4 linked regions of the Ovis aries genome follow. The protein of the gene in region 3 interacts with the protein of the main gene of each other region in a pairwise test. Links are inferred from orthologs where the notes say so. Each region holds a gene or a part of one and is shown on either strand. Other genes may lie near its edges. The genes, in order: RASSF1, FGFR4, MAP2K3 and PDGFRA.

What was found.
Region 1: the proteins of MAP2K3 (region 3) and RASSF1 come close enough for resonance energy transfer, tested with the Homo sapiens proteins (2 studies listed by BioGRID). The link is inferred for Ovis aries from reciprocal best matches to the Homo sapiens genes MAP2K3 and RASSF1.
Region 2: the proteins of MAP2K3 (region 3) and FGFR4 come close enough for resonance energy transfer, tested with the Homo sapiens proteins (2 studies listed by BioGRID). The link is inferred for Ovis aries from reciprocal best matches to the Homo sapiens genes MAP2K3 and FGFR4.
Region 4: the proteins of MAP2K3 (region 3) and PDGFRA come close enough for resonance energy transfer, tested with the Homo sapiens proteins (2 studies listed by BioGRID). The link is inferred for Ovis aries from reciprocal best matches to the Homo sapiens genes MAP2K3 and PDGFRA.

The regions. Positions count from the first base shown.
Region 1 is NC_056072.1:50,057,894-50,062,461, forward strand, and holds the start of RASSF1 (ras association domain-containing protein 1), read left to right. Parts: upstream 1-1,288; 5' UTR 1,289-1,320; coding exon 1,321-1,570; intron 1,571-3,502; coding exon 3,503-3,609; intron 3,610-4,135; exon of another isoform or gene 4,136-4,192; coding exon of another isoform or gene 4,193-4,345; intron 4,346-4,568. Other genes in the region: ZMYND10 (zinc finger MYND domain-containing protein 10), read left to right, coding at 1-79, 165-286, 404-529, 610-685. UniProt on the Homo sapiens protein: Potential tumor suppressor. Required for death receptor-dependent apoptosis. Mediates activation of STK3/MST2 and STK4/MST1 during Fas-induced apoptosis by preventing their dephosphorylation.
Region 2 is NC_056058.1:36,293,708-36,297,781, reverse strand, and holds part of FGFR4 (fibroblast growth factor receptor 4), read right to left. Parts: intron 3,828-4,074; coding exon 3,634-3,827; intron 3,525-3,633; coding exon 3,379-3,524; intron 3,294-3,378; coding exon 3,172-3,293; intron 1,980-3,171; coding exon 1,869-1,979; intron 1,781-1,868; coding exon 1,590-1,780; intron 1,249-1,589; coding exon 1,126-1,248; intron 1,044-1,125; coding exon 973-1,043; intron 763-972; coding exon 625-762; intron 376-624; coding exon 270-375; intron 164-269; coding exon 17-163; 3' UTR 1-16. UniProt on the Homo sapiens protein: Tyrosine-protein kinase that acts as a cell-surface receptor for fibroblast growth factors and plays a role in the regulation of cell proliferation, differentiation and migration, and in regulation of lipid metabolism, bile acid biosynthesis, glucose uptake, vitamin D metabolism and phosphate homeostasis.
Region 3 is NC_056064.1:35,010,187-35,014,260, reverse strand, and holds part of MAP2K3 (dual specificity mitogen-activated protein kinase kinase 3), read right to left. Parts: intron 3,761-4,074; coding exon 3,633-3,760; intron 3,205-3,632; coding exon 3,127-3,204; intron 1,391-3,126; coding exon 1,251-1,390; intron 234-1,250; coding exon 188-233; intron 1-187. UniProt on the Homo sapiens protein: Dual specificity kinase. Is activated by cytokines and environmental stress in vivo. Catalyzes the concomitant phosphorylation of a threonine and a tyrosine residue in the MAP kinase p38.
Region 4 is NC_056059.1:70,456,184-70,460,257, forward strand, and holds part of PDGFRA (platelet-derived growth factor receptor alpha), read left to right. Parts: intron 1-2,540; coding exon 2,541-2,712; intron 2,713-2,804; coding exon 2,805-2,994; intron 2,995-4,074. UniProt on the Homo sapiens protein: Tyrosine-protein kinase that acts as a cell-surface receptor for PDGFA, PDGFB and PDGFC and plays an essential role in the regulation of embryonic development, cell proliferation, survival and chemotaxis.

The sequences.
Region 1 (4,568 bases), on a different chromosome or scaffold from region 3:
GTCAGACCTGCAGGGTTTCCTGGCTCACCTGGCCCTGACCGAAGCCCAGCCCCCTAAGAAGGACCTGGTGTTGGAACAGGTAGGCTCTTGGAAGTTAGTTGGTCAGGACCACTGCTCACTTGACCAGCTCTTCCTCCCTGCCACTCTCTGCTTCTCTTCCCCAGATCCCAGAAATCTGGGAGCGGCTAGAGCGAGAGAACAAAGGCAAGTGGCAGGCTATCGCCAAGCATCAGCTGCGGCATGTATTTAGCCCCTCGGAACAGGACCTGAGGCTGCAGGCGCGAAGGTGAGGCCTGCTAAGCCAGCAGAAGAGGAGAAGGGAGGCAGCGGCGTGGATGTGGGTGGGGTTGCCCCTGTCCCCCCACCCACAGGTCCAGCAAGTCCTTCCGGACCCTTTTTCCAGGTGGGCTGAGACCTACAGGCTGGATGTGCTCGAGGCAGTGGCTCCAGAGCGGCCCCGCTGTGCCTACTGCAGTGCAGAGGCCTCCAAGCGTTGCTCCCGGTGCCAGAATGAGTGGTATTGCTGCAGGTGAGGGCATCCTAGGACCTTGGACCCCCATTCCCATACCCCTCGGATCACTGCATCTTCACCGGCCCATTTGCCTGCAGGGAGTGCCAAGTCAAGCACTGGGAGAAGCATGGAAAGGCTTGTGTCCTGGCAGCCCAGGGGGACAGAGCCAAGTGAAGGCTGCAGCGGCTGAGGGCCAACCACCCGTGCCTACAACCCACTCAAGTGTCCCCCCAAAACCTCTGGATCTCAATCTGGCCTCTGCAAGTGCCCCAGCCTCCCGGGTGGTGAGGATAGCAGGCGGGAAGAGCTGTTGACCCATCTCCCCCCATCTAAGCGCTCCCCACTTCCTGCTCTATCAGGCGCGAAGGCTTAGGGTGCAGCCTCCCCAAGCTGGGGCAGGAGGCCTGGGCGGGGGGCGGGGGGGAGGGGACAAGGGCCGGATGTGGGGACCCTCTTCCTCTAGTACTGTAAAGTAAAGCTAGCTTCCACAAACACGCCTGTTTCCTCGTGGCCCCTTGAGGTCGTCGTGGTTGTTAAGAGGAGGGGAGTGGCTCGCGGGATGAAGGGAGGATAGGAAACGGAGGGCGGGGACTCTGAGAGAGCAGCCCCCAGCCGCACCCGCCGTCCCACTCCGCCTGCGGGCCGACACAGCGCGGGCGCCCAGGTTTCCATTGCGCGGCTCTCCTCTGCTCTCCCGCCGCTCTGCCTGAATCCTGGAGGCGGCGCCGAATCGGGGCCCGCCCCGCGGCCCCGCCCGCCCCGCGCTCGCTAGCGCCCAGAACCGGCCGGAGACCCGGCCCGACCGGGCCATGTCCGCTGAGCCTGAGCTCATTGAATTGCGGGAACTGGCACCCGAACGGTGCGCCGCCCCGGGGCGCACTCGGCTCGAGCGTGCCAATGCATTGCGCATCTCGCCGGGCACAGCTCGCAACGCCGCAAGGCAGCAGGTCCCGGGCCGGGGCCACCGCTTCCAGCCGGCGGGGCCCGCCACGCACACGTGGTGTGACCTGTGTGGCGACTTCATCTGGGGCGTCGTGCGCAAGGGTCTGCAGTGCGCGCGTGAGTAGCGGACCCAAGAGCTGGCGGGAGCGAAACGGGCAGCCAAGGGACAGCCCCGTCGCTGAGGGCCAAGTTGCGATGGAGGGGGTCAGGGGGGACAGTTCCCACAGACCAGGTCTGTAACCTTTGCCCCATAGCACAAGAGAGTGCGGGCTGATAGTTTATAACCTTGCCAAGCTCCACCTGCCTCTGAGACAGTTAGGCAAACGTGCTTCTCTGTAAACAAGGTACTACTTTCAAGTTTAACCAGTGCCTTGGCCCTTCTTGAGAAAGGCTTGTTCCTGTCAGTCTCTGGACTCACATTCTTACACTTACCCCTTTGGAAAGATTCACTTGCCAAGTCCCCCAGGAGAATCCCTGTGGTGAAGGGAACTTACCCACCTATGGGAGAAGGCCTGGAAATAGAAACTTGGGCACAGGGCTACAAGCAGGAGTTTTGAGTCTGTCTTTAGCAAATACCTATTGGAAGTTCAGTCAGCCAGCTGCTAAAACATGAAACGCAACCACACGCCAGTTGGTGCTTCTGCCCTCCCAGAAATCACCAGCAAGCTGAGGTTGCTGTCTCACTGGCCATACACCATCTAGAAACACTTGGGATGCTTTTATAGCCCTCCAAACCTCTACCCTTGGATCTTACTGCAGACCTGTTGAATCAGTCAGGTCACTGAGAGTGTACCAGCGATTTTTAAAAACAGGTCATTCTAATGTGTAGCCTGGGTGGAGAATCACTGCTCTGGCCCATTTAGGAACTTAGGGAAGATGTCCCAAGCCTGTGTGTGATGGAGACCCTCTCATCTAGTACAGGAGTTTGTCTTTATTCAGCTAGGACGAGTATGGGACTTGTGGCAGCATACAAAAAGCATGAACAAGGGCTGGGAAGATAGCAGTGTTCCCAAGGAGAAATAAAGTGGCCATGGGAATGAAAAACAGGACAATTTGGGTGTGTGTCAGAAGCAGAAACAAGAGAGGCATCAAGGATGAGTTGGGGTGGTTTGGTCTGGTTTTTGTTTTTTGCTGAGTTGAACTCTGGCAAGGGCAAGGGTGAGGAGAAGTGAAGAATTAAAAGGAGTAGGAAAGTGAGTTAAATGTTGGCCATGTCTGGTTGAATTGTTTATTGGACAGCCAAATGAAGATACTGACACAGAATTTGATCTCAAGGAGGTCAGATGGAAGCCTTGGATCTAAGGTAGGTCAGTGTACACAGAGAAGAAAAGCGATCAGGACTGGGCCTCGGACTCTCCACCATTAGATCTGGAAGCTGAAACAGAACTAAAGCCCCCTGAACAGGGATTACAGTGAGGTGGGAGGAAAACCGCGGTAGTGAGGGCCCCCGGGGAATCCGGAGAGCAAGCATCAGACGATGCTGAAGAGGTGAAGGGACCACCGCATTCCGCGGTTCGGTCTCTGAGTTCCCTGGAGGGAGGAGAGCAAGACTGGAATGGGTAGAGGATGAAGGCGAGGAATTAAGTAAGAGACCAGTGTTGGTAAGTTTTGTGTGTAAGGGGAATAGAGAAAAATGACACGAAGAGGCACTGAGTTAAAAGTTTTTTTGTTTCCCCCTCCAGTAAATGGGAGGAGGGAGGGACGCTGATAATGAGGAAGGGGAAGTTCTGCCCTAGGCGCTAGAAATCCAACTGTTGAGCAGGCCTGGATCCCTAACAGCATGAAGTCTTCCCTGCCAGTTTCCAGGCCCGGGGCGGGGGGGGGGGGGGGGGGGGGGGGGGGGGGGGGGGGACAGAACGGGGAGGCGCGGCGGCAGGGGAGACTCTAAAATCTGAGTGGCAGTGGGTGTTAACGGGGACTAAGATAAGGCCAGTCATGGAGAACACGACGAGCAACGGCCTTCATCCCGGGGCTTCGCTTCTGTCCCCGGGACGCTCCTCCGAGCTGGTTGCTGGGGTTCCTCCACCTTATGGCCAGGCCTCTCTGCAGATTGCAAGTTCACCTGCCACTACCGCTGCCGCGCGCTCGTCTCCCTAGACTGCTGCGGGCCCCGGGACCTGGGCTGGGAACCGGCGCTGGAGCGGGACACGAATGTGGTGAGCGCGGGACCGGGGAGCTTACGGGCAACGCAGGGATGCGTGGACGAGCGGGGCCACATTGGAGGCGTTCCCTAGGGCCGCCCGGCGCTACGCGCAATAAACGTTTTGATAGCCGACTTCCCGGAGGCAGAGAGTGGCTAATTCTGCGCGCGGGCTCCAAGGGGTGCCGGGGGGTGCTGACTCGGCCCTAACCGCCCGGAGCCGCCCAGACTGCGCGCAAGTGCAACTTCCGCACCTTCCCGCAGCTGCATCCGGCCTCGAGGCCACGCTGGTGCACACGCGCACAAGCCCCATAGTGTCCCTTGGGAGGCGGGGCCTGCGAGACTGCGCTGAACTGAGCTGCCCCAGGGCTGAGATCATTCTTGGAGGCGAGGCGTGTGTGACCCCGCCCTTCGACATCCCTCCTCCAATGAGATGACAGCTATGTCTTGGCTGTCTACGTTTCAGTGTTAACGGTTGCGGCTCGGACACTGGTTCCTGCGCACGCACACTCATATACGGGCGCGCACGCGCACACGCGTTTGGGGCGGTGGTGGGAGTCTACCGGTGCACCGGGGCTGGTGGGCTGGCTGGCGCGGCGATGGGTGAGGCGGACGCGGGAACGCCTTCCTTCGAGATGACTTGGAACAGCACGACAAGCAGTGGCTACTGCAGCCAGGAGGACTCGGACTCAGAGCTCGAGCAGTACTTCACTGCGCGTACCTCGCTGGCGCGCAGGCCGCGTCGGGACCAGGTGGGGACCGGAGGTTGAGGGAGGCGGGCGGGGGCGATCTCTGGCATCTCGCCCCTCCACGGTACGTTGCAGTCTCGAGAGTTTGTGGGCCGCTCCGCCCTCCTGTCAGCGTGGATCTCGAATCGGACCGGGGCCAGCCCTCGGAACCGTGTGTCGGGCTTTCAGCACATCGGTACTGGGTGCCGAGCCCTTGCTGTTTCTGTCACAGACCGGTTGAACCAGG
Region 2 (4,074 bases), on a different chromosome or scaffold from region 3:
CAGCCTGTGCCCCTGCTCACGTCTGCCCCCCAGGGAAGGAGAAGGAGCTGGGCCTCAGTGGTAGGGGGTCGTGGCTGAAGACAGAGTCGCTAGAGGAGCAGGTGCTGCTGGCGTCCCCGCCGGCAGGGGAGTAGGGTCCAAAGGTTAGGCGGAGGTCGAGGTACTGTGGGGAACAGGGTTGGTCAGCCCTGGTGGTCAGGTGGGATGAGGCCCAGAGGGCAGTGGGCATGGGGGTGTGGGACGGTCCTGGGACCATAGGGGCGCAGTACCTCCTCAGAGACAGCCAGCAGGACCTTGTCCAGCGCCTCCACCAGTTGCTTGAAAGTGGGCCTCTGAGAGGGTGCTGCGTGCCAGCACTCACGCATCAGCCCGTACCTGGGGGAGGAGCGGGGAGGGTCAGAAGGAGCCTAGGGCCTGGGTGAGGGGGTGTGGCGAAGGGGCAGGAGGGTTTGATGCGAGGCGAGGCCATTCAGCAAAAGAGTACCCTGCCAAGCCTTCCCAGCCGGGCTGAGGAGGGGGTGACCATGAGTGAGAGCTGACCACTCTGTATGACTGGACCATGAGGCCAGGGTTAGGACAGAGAATGAGGACTGAAAAGTGAGGGAGAGTGGGGTGAGGACTCACAGCTCCGGGGGGCAGTGTGGGGGCCGGTCCATCCGATGCCCCTCTCGTAGCAGCGAGAACAGCTCCTCCACGGGGATGCCAGGGTATGGGGAGCCCCCGAGGGTGAAGATCTCCCACAGCAGGATTCCAAACGACCACCTGGATGGAGGCAGAACCCAGGCTCAGCAGGGTACAGCTTCACTCCCTAACCTTGCGGCTAGGATAGGGGACCCCACAACTATGATCCACCATGGGGGTGGGAATAAGGACTTCTTTTAGAGTCTGGTCCCACTCAGACCCAGGGCAAGGGCTTTAGAAGGACAAAGGTTGCCTGCAGTTACATCCCGGGCCCCAGCTTCCAGGACTCACACATCACTCTGGTGCGTGTAGACTCTGTCAAACAAGGCCTCTGGTGCCATCCACTTGACAGGCAGGCGGCCCTGGAGGGAAGAGGGCACACTGCTGCCAAGGGCCACGGGTCCCAGTGCCTGGCCCCAATCAGCTGCGCCCCGCCTCCCTTACGTTGCTAGTTTTCTTGTAGTAATCAATGTGGTGGATGCCACGGGCCAGCCCGAAGTCTGCAATCTTCATCACGTTGTCCTCGGTCACCAGCACATTGCGGGCAGCCAGGTCCCGGTGGATGCACTGGGGGTGGGGCAGAGGTCTTAGATTGAGGACACATGGCTGGGAACTGGGCACAGGTGACCTCACAGCAACCCGACGAGTGGGAATCATCCACCCATTTTACAGATGGGGAAGTTGAGAGAGGGGAAATGTAAGCCAACTAACTTCAGGGCCCACACCTTGTCTCTTGCACCACCTCTTCCTGCCTGTGGGAGAGGAAGGAATGGGAAGATGCAGTGTTAACTGCGTGTAGATGAGGCAGTACAGAAGGACTCAAGGACACTTACAGTAAGGGAAAAGAGGAGAGGGAGAAGTTGGTGGCATTTAACACAAGGCCTGAAAGTGCGGGGATGGGTCATTACCTTCCGGGACTCAAGGTACTGCATGCCCCGGGCCACCTGGTAGGCGCAGGAGACCAGGGCAGGGAAGGAGAGCGGCCCTTCGCTGCTCCGAGGCCCGTCAGGGCTGAGGTCAGGGCCTGGGGGTCGGCGGGCCCGCAGGAACTCCCGCAGGTTGCCCTTGGCAGCACACTCCACAATCACGTACAAGGGCCCTGCAGAGGAGAGGGGTGACAGGGAAGCTGACACGGATGTGGCTCCATGCCCCCACCATCCCCGCCCCTCACCCCGCCCCGCTCCCACCTTCCTGGGTGCAGACACCCAGCAGGTTGATAATGTTCTTGTGTCGGCCAATCAGCTTCATCACCTCCATCTCAGAGACCAGGTCTGCCAAGTCCTTGTCGGAGGCGTTGTCTGTGAGGATGACAGCCAGGGTGATTACACAAGGGAGGCTTTGGGTTGGGGACAGGACGTGGAGCCCTAAATTCCGTGCCAGGAAGGTCTGGGCCTGAATCCCTGCTAGGCTGTGTGGCCTTGAAAGAGTCTCTTAACTTCTCTGAACCTCAGGATCATCTTGTATGAAATGGGATGATGGATTATGCCCTACTCTCATAACAGTTGCAAGGATGCGACAAGATCAGGATCTAAAAGTGCTAGGCCTGCCAGTGAGTGCAACCAGGAAAAAGGAGGACGGGGAAAGCGCTCTGAATAGGAAGGAAGCTCCGTCTGGAGGACTTGGCATTAGTCCCCAAATGGGGTGGGAGCTCTTGGGGGCGGGAAGTGGGCTGGCGCCCTGAGGTCTGTCTGACCAGGGCCTGGCGTCCATCTGGCCTGGGAGTTCAGGGAGCTGCTGGTAGAGCGCAGCCAGGGGAGGCCAGGAAGAAGCTGCTCTAGTTTCTCTTGAGAAGGCTAAGGACCCGGGGCTGAGCCCCTGGGGCTGACCTGTGGCCCTGGGCCAATGACTTACTCTCCCCGGCAGACCTCACAATGCACATTTCTCAATCCTTGCCTCCCAGAAAGCGCCAGGTGGCCCCAGCTGTGCAGAAAGGAGGGGCTGGCGGGAGTGGAACAGCGGTTTGGGCTGCTTTTGTAGAAGGGGCTGGGGAATAGCAGCGAGAGGCCTCGATGGTGGGTCCCACCCGGGTGTCCTGAGCCTCCTGGGGCTGCTGCTTGGGCTGTTCTCTGAAAGAGTGGTAGACACAGGGGGAGATCTGGGAAGGACCTGGGGGAGACCGAGGGTGCAATCTCGGGGGGAAATCATGGGGTTGAGGTGGAGGCCTTCAAGGCTAATAAGGTTATTTGAGGTCAAAGCTGACACAGGGTAGCAGACCTATCACCCTAAACTCTTGTGGTCACCATCACCCCAGTAGTAAAGATTTTAGGTGTCATTTTCCACCAACCTCAGGCTGGGAGGCGGGGACTGTTATTTATCCCATGTGACCTGTGAGGAAATCGAAGCTCAGAAATGACTTGCCAGGATCGGTGGCACATTTGGGCCCAAGGAGTCGGGGGAATGACAGCCTTTCCTGGTCCTCAGCCACTAGCACCCTGAGCCCTGTCTGTTACTTTCCAGGTCATAGGATCTCCCACAAGCCGCCACACTCACCCTTAAGCATCTTGACGGCCACGGTGCTGGCTTGGTCCGGCCGGGTGGGGTCCATGCCGAAGGCCTCTGCACATACCACCTGCCCAAAGCAGCCCTCGCCCAGGGGCTTTCCCAGCACCAGCCTGAAGATGAGAGAGACAAGGCCTCAGCCACTGGGCATCACTCCTGCACAGGGTCTGATCCCCACGCTCACTCGGCACGGCATACCTGTCGCGGGGGAACTCCCACAGTGGGTCAAGAGGCAGGTCGAGACTCACGAGGCCAGCGAGCAAGGGGGGGCCGCTGGAGGAGAGACGGACACCCCGCACCAGGGACAAGCTTGACTTGGCTGAGGAGCCTGACTCCAGCGAGAACTGCAAAGTGAGAGACTTGGTCGGTCTGCTGAAGCTGAGCTGGGGTGGGAACGCAGGCCCTGAGCCTTTGCTATGGGAACACGGAGGCGGGGGACAGCACGCTGGATACCTGTCGGGCCAGAGGGAAGCGAGATAACTTCTGCACGGTGGCGGGCTGTCGGTGGTGTCGGGTGAGGAGCGTCTGCCTGCGATATAGCCCGACCAGCAGCAGGAACACGATCAAAGCCAGAGAGCCTGACGAGTACAGGATGATGTCCGTGTACCTGCCTTCGGGTGCTGTTGCTGTCCACGTGAGATCCTCCTCTGCGCACAGGGGGGACACACAGACAGAAACTGATTGGTCAGTCAGCAGTCAGATGGCTGGCCCCACCCCGTCTCACTGAAGCCCTTGTAGCTCCTCACACAGAGAGACACACACCAGTAAAACTGCACTGCGTACCCACAGACTTCCTTGGTGGCTTAGACAATATAGAATCCACTTGCAGTGTGGGAGACCTGGCTTCGATCCCTGGGTTGGGAAGGTCCCCTGGAGGAGGGCATGGCAACCTAC
Region 3 (4,074 bases):
TGCTGGCCCTCTGCCCCACTCCAAGGGCCTGGCATGAAGGGTGAAAGAGGGAGCCGGAGGACACAGTGAATGAGAGAATGAGCGACAAAGTCCCTCGAAGAATCATGAATGCAGAGGCAAGCCGGAGGAGCTGCCCACCGCTGTGCATAGAGGCAGCCCTCTCCCAGAGAGCCCCACCCGCACTCACCATCAGCTCCAGGTAGCTCATGCGTTCCGCGGGGTTCTTTCTCAGGCTAGGAGAGAACAGGGTAGGCTGGGGCCAGGATGGCAGGGAAGCGAATCCAGCCCATCCAGGCCAGTCAAGTCAGGCTGGGCTTGGCCCTGCCCAAGCAGCAAGGGGACACACATGCTCCCGAGGCTCAGGAAAGAAAGGGCTGAACTGTCCTGGGGGCTTCCAAGGGCAGAGTGGGATCCGTGGTGCCCACCAGAGAGACTGGACCAATAGTGACCTAGGAGATTTCCAACGATCCCAACACTAACATGCTACCACTAACCATCATATGCTTGGTGTCCTTAATCGAGAGAGGAAGCTCCTTACCATGGGTCCTGGGAGAGAATGATCCTGCCTGCCAGGCGCACCTGTTTTAAGACTTTCTTCTTTTCCAGTGAACGAAAGAAAGGCTGTGAATTCTCCCTTGAGCGTCTCTCCGGCCACAGCACATAGCTGTTGGTATGTTAGATTCTCAAGTCTTCACTTCTCACTACTTTATGATTGTATGTTTTAGATCTCTCTTATAACCCAAGAGTATACTAGAAGAATTTACTTTTAATTTCCTTGTAGCTTTTTTTCTCCATAGTTATGTATTTCCTGTTCCATCTAATTCCAGTCAGAGAATGTGGCCTATAAGACTCTGCCTCCTGCCTTTTCCCTTATTTCCTCTGTAATCTCAAACATAATTAATCTTTACAAGGATCTTGTGGGCATTCTTTAATGTGATACAAAATTCTACACATCAACAAAAGCAAATTTACTGTGTATTTAAATCCTCCATATACTCTTCATTTTCTTTTTTGATCTATGTGATCTGTCCGTTTCTAGAGGAACCGTATTAAAAACTCCTCCCAGGACCATAGCTTGTCAAATTATCCTTATACTCTAACTATTTCTGCCTTCTATTTTGATGCTGTTATTGGGGTTTGTCTGCTCAAAAAGGAGACCGGGCCCAGGGAGGACGGGATCTGGCCGGGGCAGGGAGGGGCACTGACTGGGCTCAGGGAGGCCCTCAGGTCTGAGCAGGGCTGAGACTCACCACTGCGCAGTGAAGTCCACAAAGTCAGGGGAGAAACGGTCAGCTGGGAGCTGGGGGGACGGCTCTTCTACCACCTGCTTCAGCTGCTGGAAGGGGGTCCCCCAGGACTCGTAAGGAAATCGCAGAATGGCCATCTCGATCTGCAGTGGAGATAGCACCCCTGGGTCAGAGACACCCACGCTCTGCACACGGAAGCAAAGCCTTCAAAGATCCTGCCTGTCCTGGTCCAGCATCCAGAGCTGGGCTGTGAGGCAGGTCAAGGGGCTGACAGGTGACATCAGTCCAAAGATGAAAGCCAAGGGGACAGAGGAGTTGGTTCTGTCCCAGCCAGCAAAGACTGTAGCTCATGATACACATTCAACCCTGGGTTTTGACTGGCTTGGCTATCGGGTTTTCAAACAATCTGAATTCAGAAGGTTTTGCATTAAAACCCAGGTTCCAGTTAACCTGGAAAAATCAGAGGGCTGGCAGCCTGGGGTGCTCCCGATAAGGCCACTGTCACCAAAGAGCCTGAGAAGAGTGATCAGCTTCGAAGTTCCCCACAGACCACTCCCTCCTCCCTAATGTCTCAGCAACACCTTAGCTTCTGCTGCCGTTTATGTGGGCTGTTGTTATTAGCGAAAAGGCAAGCAGGAAATGAAATGATTTTCATGAGCTTCAGGAGGAATGTTAGACTAAGAGGTTCATCTCCTGGACTGTGCAGCAATCCACCAGGCCCCATTAGGAAATGAAGTCCGCAGCCCTTCCTCCTCCACAAAGCCCCCACCACCCAGCCACCAACACCTGTAAGCCCATGTCCAACGCTTCCGCCTCCAGGAAGCCTTTCCACTCGGATGCTGTCACTGTTTCTCTCCGACTCCCTGGACACAGGGCTGCCACGGCCTCACCGCTTCCACCAGACCCAGATCCCCCTGTGCCCCGCGCCTCGCCTGCAGGAGCCATCTGTAGCAAAGAATGGCTGTCTCACCACAACCTCTGCTTCCAGTTTTGACTACTGACATGAAAATTCAAGTCCACTTCCCTGAGAAGCGATCACCACTGACATGAAAATTCAAGTCCACTACCCTGACAAGCGATCACCGTAATAAACAGGAGAGACCTCGTCTCAAGCAGACACACCAAAACAGGTCACTAGTTGTGCTCAGAAAGGACCTTCTCATCAGGCCCCAGGCTCCTTTCCAGCCAAGACACAAACAGGCCCACAGATGGAGGTGACACAGTGTGGCGGGAACGGCTATGACCCTGGATTTTCATAGGGCAAAGACAGCCTCCTTTTTTTCCTATAGTTTCCACTGACTCCGGCACACAGGAGTGAGGACCCTGCCTGGGCTGCAGAGAAGGATGCAGTGGCCACCAGAGCTCAAGAACAAAAACAGAGAAGTGTCCAAACCTTGGACCTAGTCATTCCTCTCCTGGTAATTTTTTCTAAAAGAGCTCAAAAAATGAAAACATAAGCAGCCTCTGGGCACAGAGACACATACTACAGCATTATCTGTGGGAGTAAACGTGGAGAAGCAGCAAGAACGAGCAGGGCAAGGCTGAGCCTCGCCACTGTCGTGAAGCCCTCGTGCACAAGGAGCCAGTTGGTCTTGGGCTGGCTGTGCATTCTCAGTGAGCACGAGCCCTGAGGAAGTCCAACAGGCAAGTGGTCACAGACGAGAGCGGCATAACGCTGCCCTAACCCAGGGAGGGCGTGAGGCACCTGCGGACACTCTGCTAAGGACCCCATAATCTTTGATGGCACTGTCTCTTCTCACATCGTGAAGCCAACCAACCCTTCTGTCCAGGCTAGACTATCTGGCCCCCAGAAGCTCACAGACCTGGCACAGCCCCCACCTGTGCTCCACCCGACCAGCAAGGGTGCCCCAGGACGTACCATGGTGATGCCGAGGCTCCAGACATCAGACTTGACATTGTAGCCTTTCTGGTTCAGCTCTGGGTTGATTCTCTCGGGCTGGAAGAGGAGCCAGAGCAGGGTCACCCAGGCCCCCTCAGCTGGGTCTGGTTGCCCCCCACAAAACGTAGGGGCCAGTGCTCACCCATCCTACCTCCCCCAGAGCAAGTGTGGAAGCTGAGGCTGGTGAGGGCCGGGGTCTCGAGGTGGAAGCCTAAGTCTTGCCACACAGCTGCCACACCTGGGGGTCTCACCTTGGGGTATCAGCAACTCCCACAGGCCCCACCAGCCACCCCGCTGAGGTGAAACCTATCATCCAAATGGACACGGTGGGGCCAGTCAGAAAGGGGTGGAGAGGGCTGAGCAGGAGACTCCCTCTAGAAGGAAATTCGGGGTCTGGGGAGGCCTCATTCCTGATGGAGCAGGACACAGCTAAGGTGCCTGAGCCTGGCTGTTTCCTCTGGGCATGACCTGGGCACCCCACTTACGGCCATGTAGGGTTTGCAGCCAGCATCCATTGTCTTAGCCACAGAATCCACCAAGTAACCACTGATCCCAAAGTCACACATCTTCACGTGGCCCTCCTTGTTGATAAGGACATTGGATGGCTTCACATCTGCCAGAAGTAGGACACGCCTTTCAGCTACTGGTTGTTGGCCCCCACTGCCCAGGTCAGAGCTGGTAGCCACACAGTCAGGAGCCCCAGCCTCCAGCCACAGGTGGGGAGAGAAGTTAGCTCCAGGGCTTCCCCCAGGACCGTGTCTTTGCAGCTTCACAGTTGGGACTCAGCCTCCACTTACCAGTGCAACCTCTGGCTCTGGGGTCCACCCAAATGCAGGGAACCCATCACTAACAGTATGAGCACTGTAAACCACCCAATATCCACCTTGAGGGGTCGGCAGTCTTGGCCAGGAAGCACAAGGCAACAGC
Region 4 (4,074 bases), on a different chromosome or scaffold from region 3:
TGCATTGGGAGCACAGAGTCTTAGCCACTGGACCACCAGGGAAATTCCTCTATAAAAAGTTCATTTGTTTATTTATTTTGACTGTACCTCGCAGCCTCGAACCCAGGCCCCTAGCAGTGGAAGCACAGATTCCTAACCACTGGACTGCCTGGGAATTCCTGCCTGGTTTTTCTATGCATAACTTTCCTTCAGTGAACAGGCATAACTTGAATCATTCAGTAAAGATTTAGTGATGTTTGCTGAATCCCAAGCACTCTGGTGGAAGCTGGCTCATCCACAGAAAGAAGAAGGGAGGAGTGGAGATGGGGAAGGGGAGCCACTGTGTCATCTCTGGTCCCTGGGAATTTTCACATAGGGTATCATTCATTCTTTTTTTTTATTTTATTGATGTATATTTAATTTACAAAGTTGTGTTAGTTTCAGGTGTACAGCAAAGTAATTCAGTTATATAAATATATATATTCTTTTTCAGATTCTTTTTTATTATAGATTATCACAAAAGACTGAGTATAGTTCCCTGTGCTATATAGTAGGTCCCTCTTGTTTCCCTATTTTATATGTATTGGTGTGTGTATGTTAAGTCCAGTTCTCATTCATTCTAACATATCATGGTAAGTGTGTATGAACTGTGTGTGAAAGGCTGTGATGGTCCCACGTAGAAACCATTTAACAGTGCACAAAAACCATCTGTGTATAAATATATATATATACACAAACACACATATAAACATATATGTGTATATATATATATGGTCTTCTCCCCTTCACTCCTAGTTTGCAAATTTATGCTCCTTGCTCTTTTTTTGGCATCTGATAGTATCTCTCCTTTTTTCCATTTCTCTCCCCCATGCTTTGCTGCCCCTTTCCTTTCTCCCTGGGGCGTCTTGACTGAAACTTGAACATTTTCACATATTGCCCTATAACCTCATGTACTGAAGAGACATTCGTAGACCAATAGGTATACATCTTCCCCCAAATGTAAAGCTATCTGATATTTCTGTTCATACTTGATTGCCTTTATTTTTGTTTTTTATAGAAACTTTTTTTTAAAGTTTCATTTGTTTGTTTACTTATGGCTGCTTTGAGTCTTTGTTGCTGCGCTCCAGCTTTCTCTAACTGGGGAGAGTGGGGGCTTCTCTGAGTTGCATTGTGAGAGCTTCTCATTGCAGTGGCTTCTCCTGTGTCAGAGCATGGGCTCCAGGCTCAAGGGCTGCAGTAGTTGCAGCTTGTGGTCTTAGTTGCCCTGGGGCATGTGGGATCTTCCCAGACCAGGGGTCAAACCTATGTCCCCTGCCTTGCAGGTGGATTCTTTTTTTTTTTTTTTTTCTAATTATGTTTACATTTATGCCCATGCTGGGTCCTCATTACTTTGCGCAGGCTTTCTCTAGTTGCTGCAAGTAGGGGCTACTCTTCGTTGCAGTGTACGGGCCTTTCATTGTGGTGGCTTTTGTTTCTGAGCACAGGCTCTAAGGCTCGAGGGCTTCAGTAGCTGCAGCGCCTGGGCTGTAGAGCCTGGGCTCAGTGGTGTGGCACGTGGGCTTAGTTGCTCCATGGCACGTGGAATCTTCCTGGACCAGGGACCAAACCTGTGTCCCCTGATTTGCCAGGCGGACTCTCATCAACTGTATCACCAGGCAAGTCTGGCAGGTGGATTCCTAACCGCTGGGCCACCAAGGAAGCCCATATCTGATGCCTTTAATCCATAAAACATAAATGCTTCCTTTCATTTATTGGAGATAATTTTTTCCCTCAAAACCAAACTATGTGCTGTTTGGCCCCCCAATAGATAATCAACGTATTGGTTTATAAATCATAGTTTTTGTTTGATATTTTTTTAAAAAATGCAGGCTTATTATAACTTTAAAATTTAGAAAAACAGATGAAAAGCCACTTCCCAGAACCATCCCCATTATAATTTAAAGGAGATAAGTCTTTTAAATACTTTATAAATGTAATAATTAATAGATATACTTTAAATAGTGCTTTGATATATATTTTTTTCTTGTGGCAGTATAGCACAAACACCTTACTATGTTATTAAGTATCCTTTCAAAACCAGATTTTCAAAGGAACATGTCTAAAAATATTTTTTTCTAGACTTTATTTTTTAGACCAGTTTTAAAAAAGTATTCACTTGGCTGCACTGGGTCTTAGTTGCGGCACACGGGATTTTTGATCTTTGTTGCGGCACGTGGAATTTTAAGTTGCAGCATGTGGGATCTAGTTCCCTGACCAAGGATTGAACCCAGGCCCCTACATTGGAAGCGTGGAGTCTTAGCCACTGGACCCCCTGGGAAGTCCCTTTAGAGCAGCTTTAAATTCATAGCAAAACTGAGTAAAAAGTACAAAGATTTCCTGTATTGCCCCTTGGGCTCAACACAGGAGCAGCCTCCCCCATCTATATCCCCACAATGCGGTATACTTGTTACAATCCAGGAACCCACATTGGTGCATCTTTATCACTGGGTCCATAACTTACACAGGGGTTCCCTCTTAGGAAACAGCTTGTTAAAGTCAGTTTTCCTCCCCTTCTGCTGTAGAAAGGCAAAGGCATCACGAGGCTGGAGGAAACCAAGTTCCCGTCCATCAAGTTGGTGTACACTCTGAGGGTTCCCGAGGCCACAGTGAAAGACAGTGGAGATTACCAATGTGCTGCCCACCAGGCCACCAAGGAGGTCAAAAAGATGAGGAACGTCACCATTTCTGTTCACGGTACACTCTGCTTCCTAAAATGCCCATCGGCCATGCTGCTCGGGATCCACCATGAGGTGATCATTGTTTAATGGAAACTCTTCCCTGTACAGAGAAAGGATTTATTGAAATCAAACCCAACTTTAACCTGTTGGAAGCTGTCAACCTGCATGAAGTCAAGCATTTTGTGGTGGATGTGCAGGCCTATCCCCCTCCCAAGATAACCTGGCTAAAGGACAACCTGACTCTGATTGAGAATCTCACGGAGATCACCACTGACATAGAGAAGATTCAGGAAATAAGGTAAAGAAACACCCTTCTCAAGTTTGCCTTTCTTTGTATTGTACATTCTTAGATAGACTGAGGTTTGTGTGTGTCTTATGACCCCAAACAAGAGTCAATATAGAAAATTTAGCAATCAGGAAAAAGAGATACTGGAAATTAGGTACATTTCATGATAATGTTGCAGTGCAGTGATAGTATGTTGGTAAGTATGTAACAATGAAATGAGAAGAAAGAACTGAAAAATCTCTGCTCCCAATGAAAGACATGTTCCTGGATTCAGAAAGGGATGGAGGAAAGAAAGCAAAATTGGACCCATGTGGGTTTCATATATATTCCTTGATATCCATCACCCATATGGCAAGTAGACATGTATGGTGATTCCATTTCCAGGGCAGTTATCACATATGCCTACATGAAACACAACATCATTGGCTTAATTTGAAACACATTTGCCCCAGTGAGGCTTTGATGGGAAATAAGAGCAGCGTCTGAGTACATTTGGTTAGGACAGAACGTACAATGGATAGTTTGGATCCTTGCTCTTTGAGGAGCTGTAGACTGTTGTCATCTCTTAACTAGTGGTAGAGTTTTGTGTAAGTCACCATTCAGCCTCAGTTTCCTCATCTATAATGTAGGGTTAATAATACCATATGTCCTTCAAGATGAGGAACTGGATGATATTTTGAGGTCTCTTGCAGCTTTAAGACCTGATTAGAATCCAAGAGCAGAAGATCCCTCTTGAAGGGCTCAGCTAATCCAGCCCTGCATCTTTGTCAGAAACCTTCCGCAGGAGACAAAATCCTCTATTTCAAGCCTTCAGGAAAGAGGAGAAGATAGAACCTCTGCCATTAGTTCACTTAATTTCAGGATTTGCTTCCTTCTTTCTGAACTGAATTCCATGTGTAACTGAGAAGCAACATCTGAGAAAATGGAATGTGACTACCTCTGTGGAATAGTGATAGAGATAGAAGTGGGATACTGAATCTGGAAGGCTTTCTAAAGACACGAAATGTAGGAACACAAAGTGGACAGTGTCTAACTTTCTACTAGGCTGTGAGGCCGGAGAGAAATAGGGTGATCCCAGAGTAGCCAACACTT